Linked DNA regions of Macaca mulatta. The protein of the gene in region 1 purifies or fractionates together with the protein of each later gene. This does not show direct contact. Links are inferred from orthologs where the notes say so. Each region holds a gene or a part of one and is shown on either strand. Other genes may lie near its edges.

Region 1 (4,249 bases):
CTAAAATAAAGAATGCTACCAGAAACAGGAATACTTAGAGGGCTGACTTTTCATTCATTTTCAATAATTATCCCCCAACTGAATATAGGTGTCATACTAATTTTACCAGCTAATAATGAACACAGTTTCTTAAGCTATAAAGATATGGAATTAGGTAAAACCACACAACTTTAACCTGAGACATAGCCTTGTGCAACTGCCCTTTTAAAAATAGACAAACGTACAAAAAAAAAAAAAAAAAAAGATGAATCAACTGAAAACAAACACTGAATTAGAGGCTTTGTCAGGTCTCCTAACTCCCCATCTAGTTAAGGCAAGCCAAAAATAAGTCACAGCTGGGATTCTCCTAGGTATGGAAACTCTGCCAACTAGGAATTAATACTAGATTATTTCTGTACCAGAATTTTATTCTTATAATCATAATCACATAATAAACAAAGTAACTTAAATATGAAAGGAAAATGGGAGTCAGGCCAAAAAATAAGATAAATTGACAAAAGAAAGAACAGCGGTAAAACAAAAAAGTTGAAAAGGCATAATGTCCTCATTCTAATTAAAGTTATGCGGTTTTTCTTTTTTTTGTTTGTTTGTTTGTTTTGGTTTGGTTTTTTGTTTTGTTTTGTTTTAGTATACCTGGGCCAAAAATAAACACCATATATATAATGTATCATACTAGTTTCAAAACAAAGAAAAAAATTATTCTCATTCACAGTTCAATAGAATGCGTTTAGGGCTTCTCAAATATCTTTATCTTGTCACCTCTCATATACATCACTTTTTTCCCATGACCCTCTTAAACATCTTCCACGCTGATAGACAGTATCTTCACAGGAATTGGGCCAGGAAGACAAAGTTGTGCACATTAGGGGTATCAATAAGCAGGCAGTGAGGTCTCTACAAATGGGTCTGCAAACTAAGGCCTGCCAGCCACACTTACTCCATGGCCTGTTTTGTAAATAGTTTTACCGAGATACTACCATACCCGGTGCCATTCATTTATTGTCTGTGGCTGCTTTATTACTCTACAGTGTAACTGAGATTTTATGTGTTTCAAAACCTAAAATATTTACTATCTAGTCGATAACAGAATAAAGTTTGCTGATGCCTGGTCTAGACAATGAAGTTTGGAAGACAACAGCATGAGGGAGAGCACAAAGCTTACCAACATATTATGTTAATACATCATATAGTATTTTTTCAAAATGATTGCTTAGAATTAAGTGGATTATTGCTTCCAAGGTGTTAACAACGACGACGACGATGATGACAACACTGCTGTGGAACTTTAATAGGGAACATTTATATACCTAAGTTTGATATGGGCAGTAACATAACATACATGGGAAAGACGATAGGCTAGAAGCCTGGAATCCTGCCAATGGCCTTGACCGAGTCATGAAACTTTTCTTATCTACTATAGTTTAAGATTCCATTATATAAAAGCACAAGCAATGCCAGTTTAAAACATGTTTGACATTTAATTAGTCTTTCAAAGCCCCTGAATTGGGATCAATCTGCACATAGGTTTCCCTTGATTCAGAAGTGTATCATAGGAAAAGGCGTGATAAAATTGAGGCTCCACTAGGAATAGGTAATATGATCACATGGAGAGAGAGAAAAAATGTTAGTACAGAAGTAAAATAATAAACTTCAGTTATAGATGGGACAAAAGAGAGAGAAAAGGGGAGACAACACAGAACCATTTACCAAACACAACTGACCTGAGTTCTGTTAAAAGCCACACGTGCAAATACTGCCTGGGAGATTCCTGCTCGTTTCAGTTCATCGCGTACCCACTGGTAGATTTCGGAAGACACCTCTGTGTTGGTCGAAACCTGTTGCTCCAAAGGCTTATTCATAGATCTACTGACAGGGGGAGGGTGGTTCAAGTATTGTTGGTTTAAGGACTGCTGGGCTAAAAGTCTATTCACTGCATACTGCTGGTTCAGCAGCTGAGCCATCACCAGCTGCTGGTTGACCAACTGAGGACTGATAGGCGTTGATACGAGCCCAGGGTGCAGGTTTGGAAGAGGGGTCCGGACAGAGGGCTGGCTGCCATGGGAGAGCTGCGCAGGGGATGGAGGCTGCTCGGCTGTGTTCCCTGGAACTGGTTGCTGTCCAAAATTGACATGATTGGCGCCTTGCTGGGATAGCTCAGAAAGACTATCCATTTCAACTAAAGTGGACAAAAAGTAAAATCACATTTAGCCAGCAATGATTAGCATTGATAAAGATTTCTAATCACTTCCTAAATTAAAAAAGGGTAGGCACAGGGCACACCCCAAATCCAAAAAAACCAAGAAAATTTCAAGTTGCAACTTACCAGGCTGTGTTTTTTCTCTCCTTTTCTGAACAATTCTACAAACTTTGGAAGTGGGACAGCACTCCTAATCTCATTTTTAAAAAGTGGTTTAGATTTAAGGCATAAAATCAATTATATCCAAATTCTTTCCGACTAGTTGTTCACTCTCACTTATTACCCCAAGAAGGCTTATAAGCAATATTTTTTAAAAAATGGCTTCTAAAAGAATGTCATTTGCTTAATGACAACTAAAAACAGTTAGCTGAGAAAATAAACTTATAATAAGCGACTAAAAATTTTACAAATATATTCTCATGGTATTCATTAACTTTAGTACTCTAGGAAAAAGGTGTAGAAGAAAAAATATGACGTAAAATGTTACCTACTTTCAATTTTTACCTAGCAGTGAATAGAAGTAGTTAACGTAATAAACAAAAATGGGTATAATAGTAAGTGCATATTGAATGCTTGCTGAATATCATATATGCCTTGTTTCATTTTAATTCTAACCATCATGGGCAGTAGGTATATCTGGAAATACTTTTTAGAATAAAGCAAGTGATTTATTGTATATCAAGCCAGCATACCCAGTGTTGCTAAGATCCAAATGTTTTTCTTCAGGAAGCTATGGCCATCACCAGATGCTAAAGACAATCTTGCAGGGAATCGTTCTGGTACGATGGTGATGCTGTCATGATTTTGCAATTTATTCCCACCTACCCAGGATGAATGCTTCTCCCTTGGCTAGGTTCCTCATATGGATTGGCTGAGCATCATCTCTAAGTGTGTAAATGCTTTTCTGTACGAGCAGGAGACTGGTTCGATGCTCTTGGCTGGAAGGGCTGAGCATGAAGCTGTACATAAACAGGAGTTTCCAAATTGTACACAGACTTCCCATGTATAGACTCTAGTTTGATTTTAATCATCAATTCTCTTTTCATTAAATATGCAGGTTTTACATTTAGAGGAACTTTATCATAGTGCTATAGCTCCTGATATATGCAAAATATAACTAAGAATTGGGGAAGAAACCTTCAGTTTCTACCAGTGATATCAGCCCAAGTGGGCCATTCACAGAGAGTAGTAATTCAAGCAATTATTCCAAAAATGATGCATTGTCTTCATTACAGCCTTAAGCTATAAAAGGCAAAGAATCCATTTTGGTAGATGGATGGTTTTTCTTCAAATATTAAGAGCTAAAACATGCTCAAAATTTGGGTTTCTTATTGCTTAAAAAATTTTTAGAAAAAAAGTTATTAAATGAATGTAAAGAAATAAACAGAAATAGATTTAAAACAGGACATAATGCCCATTCCTGTATTATTTTAAAATATATGTTTTGGAGGGTACAAGTAGGTGAAAGAGAATATTAATAAAAATTAAAACATTAACCTTAATCACAGTGTTTGCTTTTGTGAACATTAACAAACTCAACAGGGAGAAAATGCCGTCATCTAAATGCTTAGGTACCATACACAACTTTTATCTGTCATTTTACACTGCAGATAATTTTAGTGTACTTCTTGCATAACAAATATTCACCTAAAGTTATGTGTTAAGATAGAATGCTCTCTTGGAATTAAAAGTTTAGAAATGATGCAATAATTGCTCTGGTATGAATGGTAAAGCAGTATGCTTATCAAAGTGCCCATCCATGGGGGCTGGGGAGTTAGAGCTATAAAAATCACTTGATCTCTATTGTGGAAACTATAAATATAGTTTAAGAAGTTTAATTTCCTTAAAAATTGGGTGTAAAAGTAGGGACTTTCTCATTCAACCAGACAAAAGCAAAAAACCTAAAAGCATGACTTATCACTGAAAGAAATCACAGCTAATATTAGCTATTCAAGGCCTGGTTAGGTCTTCACTGAGATGTTAAAAAATGACAGCTCCCCTCCTAACGCCTCGATTTTCTGCATGTCTGACAACCAAGTCAGTTTGGCTGAT
Region 2 (4,778 bases), on another chromosome or scaffold:
TGCCAGGGCCCTGCTGGGACCTGCTTCTGGGATCAGCCTAGCAGCCCTGGGAGGGCCCGGCGTGAGTGGAGGGGGCACGGGCGCCCACTTACACTTCAGGAAATAGTCCCTGGGAGCTTCACTCTCTAAGAGGTTCGTGCTATCGGGGTCCTGGGGCTCAGCATCAGCTGCAGAAGAGGAGATAATGGTGAGAATGCCCCCAGACTGCCCCCCTCCGAACCTGTGACTACAATCCCTTCCCCCTTCACTTCTTCCCAGAGTCCAGAGCCACCAGGGAGCAAGCACCACCCAGACGTGGCACGCTGTGCTCACACGCATGCCCGTTGCCTGTGTTCTGCTCCTTGCCCCACGTGCTTCCCGGGCCACAGCCCCTCTGGAGCTAGAGGGTGGGCTAGGAGAAGCCCCCTCTACCCCAGGTCCAAGGGGCTGATTGATCCCCACAGGGTGGCAGCTCTAGTCACTGGCAGGATTTGGGCTCCTCCCTGTGCCAGGCACAATTTTCCTCCTCCACTTCTGGATGGGCACCAGGCCTGGGGGCCTGTGCGAGAGGCTGGGAGAGGGTGAGTCATCGGGGGAGTGGGGCGGTGCCCACCTTCCGAATCCAGCTTCTGTGGCCCGTCCTCGTTGCCACCCGGCCCCCTCAGCTGCTCCCACTGGTTGGCGCAGGCCACGGCCAGTACGTCTCTCACTGCGCGGACAGCTTGGGAAGATTTGGTGAAGCTGAGCTCCCTCGGGGGTCCAGGGCCAGGGCCACACCCCTCCTCCAGGGCCAGCCTTAGTGCCAGCAGCTCCTGTGCCAGACAAATGCCCATTAAAACTCTGCTGGCCATGGCTCCTCCTTGCTGGGGGTGGAGGCGGCTCTGCCAGGAGGTCATGCACCCACTGTCTCCTCCTCCCTCCACCCCGACCTGTCCCAGCTTCTGTTCCTTCTGTGGCCCCCAGAGCGGCCCTCACCTGCAGGAAGCTGACTGAGTCGGCTTCGGGGACCTGGCTGAGATTCTGGCGGGCTCGGCTCAGGCGGCTGCGCTGTTCCTCCTGTCGCCGCAGGTCACCCTGGGAGCGGCCCAGCATAGCAGCTTCCCCCTCCTCGATGAAGGCCAGCACCTGGGTCTGGAAGCCCTGCAGGGCAGCCGCAGCCTCTGCAAACAGCCGGCTCACCCTCTCCCGCTCCGCCACGGCTGCACTCTGCACAGGATGACAGTAGCGGGGGCAATGAGGGCAAATAACCGTCCTGGACTGTGGCTCCCTCCTTCCCTGACCCCAGCTTCCCACTCACCCTCTTGAGAGGACAGAGGGGCCAGCCTGAGCCTACCCTGCATCTGGGCCAGGTCAGGGGACACTTGTGCTCAGTGGGTATGCGCATGGCTTGTTTGGAGTGAATTGTGCCATGCTGAAAGCATACACTGCCAGGAGTATGCCCACTGCAGGGGAGGACAGGGATGGAGGCTGGGGAGGGGTGTCTGACCTTGATGAGGGCCACTGTGCGCCTGGACTGTGCAATGCCAGCACCCAGTTCGTCCATGCGGTCCTCCACGGCGCTCAAGACTTTCGGCTGCTCAGCCTGTGGACAACACCCTCCATGAGTGTGAGGTCTGGCAGAGGCCACAGCCCTGCCCTGGGGTCCCAGGCCTTGCCAGGGGAGAGAAGGGGGTGACCGGGGAGTGGTATCTGTGCATTGGGTGGGACTGGAGTGGCCACGATGTCCCATAATATGCCAGAGGTGCCTGCAGCCCAGGCTGGTGCCTTTCCCGAACGCCTGGGGGCCCGCAGGCTGACTGGGCGTCTGCCTCCCGTCTCTGACAGGAGGCCCAGTACAGGGCCTTCCGCTGGTCTCAGTGTTACTCAGATGAATTTGAGAACTTCCTCCAGCGGGGAAGAGGCACAGAGTAAGCGAGTTAGGTGCGGGGATTGGGGGTGACTGCACAAGGAAGCATTAAGCTGCCCTGGGGATCACTGTTCCCAAAGAACCTGCATCCACAGTCCAGGCCTGAAAAAAGGGGATTCCGGGCAAATCCCCTAGGTCTTATGAGTCACTGCTCCAGGCAGGAGAGACGGAAAATCCCTTGGCCAGAGGCGCCAAGACCGGGCTGGAGGCCAAAGGAAACTGGGGGCGGGAGGTAGAGGCCGCGGCGCACATGCTCCCACCACTGGCCCCTGGAACAGCTGGACAGAGAATCTGTGTGCCCGGCCGCCCTCCTGCCGCCTGCCACACCCATCGAAAGCCGCAGACTTAGCCCAGGGCAAATCTGAGCTGAGACCGGGTGAGCCCTTGGGCGGCAGCAGGAGCCACGCTACCGGAACCCCGCGGGCCTGACCCGGTTCCCTCCCGCCTACGCCCCCATAGACCCCGGCCCGGCTTCAGGTCCCCTGCCCCCTCTTCGCGTCCTTGTCCCGTTCTCTCACGTCCCTCCTCCCTTCCCATCTCCATCCCGCGAGCAGATGACCTTGTCAAGGCTGGAAGGGACCGCAAAGATCCTCAGGTTAGAGGAGGAAATTAAGACCCAACCCGGGAAGGCTGAGGGGTCCAAGGTCCTCGGCCCGCTCGCGCGCGGTCAGTCACCAGCCCCGGCTCACCCGAGTGTGCCCCCGGAGCCCACCTCCTGAAGCGCGCGCTCCTGCTCCAGCGGCACCAGCTCGTGGCCGCGGTGCTCCTGGGCGGCGCAGGCCTCGCACAGACACACGCGCTCCGCGCGGCAGTAGCGCTCGAGCGGCCGCAGGTGGCGCGGGCACAGGCTCTCCTCTAGCCGGCGCAGCGGCGGCACCAGGCGGTGTCCGCGGAGCGCGGGGCTGCGCTCGTGCGGGCCCAGGTGCGCGGGGCAAAAGGAGGCGAGGCAGGAGAGGCAGGACAGCGCGGCAGGCAGGGCCGCGCCCTCGGGGCACGCGTCGCAGCGCACTGGCTCTTCGCCCGCGGACCACGGCTCGGGCGCGCAGGGGGCCGACGGCTCCGGGGCGCTGGGCGGCGCGCTGGGCACCGAGGGCTCCGGAGCCGGAGCAGGGGCCGGGCCGGGGCCGGGGCCGGGCCCGGGGCCCGAGCCCTGGCGGAGCTGCAGCAGCTCGGACAGCGTGTGGTTCTTGCGGAGCTGAAGGCCGTCGGGGAAGGGCTCCTGGCACAGCGGGCAGCGGGCCGCGCCTCCGGGTCCGCCGGCGCCACTCGCGCCACGATGCGGCCAGAGTGCGCCCAAGCAGGCAAGACAGAAGTTGTGGCCGCAGGGCAGCGTCACCGGCTCCCGGAGCGGCTCTAGGCAGATGGGGCAGCTGAAGGGACCACTGCTGTCCATGGCTCCGCGGCCGCCCAGGGCGCCGCCGATTCTGCTCCGGCCTGGGAGGGACCCGGGCCGTTCGCGCCGCGGCACCGCCCCCTGGGACCTAGGCCAGGGCTCCGGCCCCCGCCCGCCCCCAGCTCGGCCCGCCCCGCAGCGCCGCCCGCCCGCCCGCTGGTCCGCTGACTCTCAGTCCCCGCCCAGACAACGCGGGGAGGCCTCTGAGCCCGCGCGACCCCCAGGGGAGTCCGCGTGGTCCCAAGGAAGGGAGCTGCTGAAAGGGTGTGAAACTGAGGGAGCGCGGGCGGAGAACGCGAGGGGTACAGCGGAAGAAATGGGAAGGGCTCAACCTCCATCCCTCTGGTCCTTCTGGGCCTGGCCAGGGCTCCGCAGGAGCTGGGCGGGTCTAGCTGTGTCACGCCTGCACCTTTGCGCTCGACCCCTCCCCGGCACCCTTAGCAAAGTTCCCGAGCTGCTGACTGCAGAGAAAAATAACTGCTGATGTACATATGTTTTTGCCCCTTAGCGACTCTATTTTTTTTTTTTTTTTTTTTTTTTGAGACAGAGTTCCGCACTTGTCGCCCAGGCTGGAGTGCAGTGGGGTGATCTCGGCTCACTGCAACCTCCGCCTCCCGGATTCAAGTGATTCTCCTGCTTCAGCCTCCCAAGTAACTGGAATTACATGCGCTCACCACCACACCCGGCTAATTTTTGTAATTTTTTGTAGAGATGGCGTTGTTGTCCAGGCTGGTCCAGGCTGGTCTTGAACTCTTGACCTCAGATGATCTACCCGCCTCAGCCTCCCAAAGTGCTGGGATTACAGGCTGAGCCACAGTGCCCAGCCCCTTTAGCGACTCTGTTTACACCCAGTGGGGAACTTGGGCTTTTCTAGATACGAAATGGGAAGTTGATATCATTCCCTGAGTCCCTTGCCTGAGGAATTTAGTTCTGGTCCCTGGACACTGGGGGCACCTGTGGTAGGGCTGGGGGTTCCCCAACTGGAAGTATTTAAAGCTCATCTAATTATGCACTTAAAGTGGTGCGTTTTATTGTATGAGTTATATCTCAATAATGTTAAAACACTACACCGGAATGACAACAGAATAAGTAAAGTAGCGCTGATTATAACCCAAAGTGTAAAATAAACATCTATGGGTCCATGCCGATATAAATAAATAATAAATTAACAAGCCAGGGAGAATAGACACATTTCGCATTGAAAATTCCAAATAATGTTATTTATTATTTTTTTTTTTGAGACGGAGTCTCGCTCTGTCGCCCAGGCTGGAGTGCTGTGGTGCAATCTCGGCTCACTGCAAGCTCCGCCTCCCGGGTTCACGCCATTCTCCGGCCTCAGCCTCCCGAGTAGCTGGGACTACAGGCGCCCGCCACTGCGCCCGGCTAATTTTTTTTTTCTATTTTTAGTAGAGACGGGGTTTCACCATGGTCTCGATCTGCTGACCTTGTGATCCGCCCGCCTCGGCCTTCCAAAGTGCTGGGATTACAGGCGTGAGCCAC

The links. The genes of interacting proteins can lie anywhere in the genome.
Region 2: the proteins of SATB1 (region 1) and TRIM47 purify together in Homo sapiens (affinity purification with mass spectrometry; 4 studies listed by BioGRID and IntAct, with this or other methods). This does not show direct contact. The link is inferred for Macaca mulatta from reciprocal best matches to the Homo sapiens genes SATB1 and TRIM47.

Annotation. Positions count from the first base shown.
Region 1 is NC_133407.1:30,131,761-30,136,009, reverse strand, and holds part of SATB1 (DNA-binding protein SATB1), read right to left. Parts: intron 2,177-4,249; coding exon 1,722-2,176; intron 1-1,721. UniProt on the Homo sapiens protein: Crucial silencing factor contributing to the initiation of X inactivation mediated by Xist RNA that occurs during embryogenesis and in lymphoma.
Region 2 is NC_133421.1:85,584,999-85,589,776, forward strand, and holds the start of TRIM47 (E3 ubiquitin-protein ligase TRIM47), read right to left. Parts: upstream 3,312-4,778; 5' UTR 3,279-3,311; coding exon 2,598-3,278; exon of another isoform or gene 2,575-2,597; intron 1,562-2,574; coding exon 1,466-1,561; intron 1,186-1,465; coding exon 955-1,185; intron 792-954; coding exon 593-791; intron 168-592; coding exon 93-167; intron 1-92. UniProt on the Homo sapiens protein: E3 ubiquitin-protein ligase that mediates the ubiquitination and proteasomal degradation of CYLD.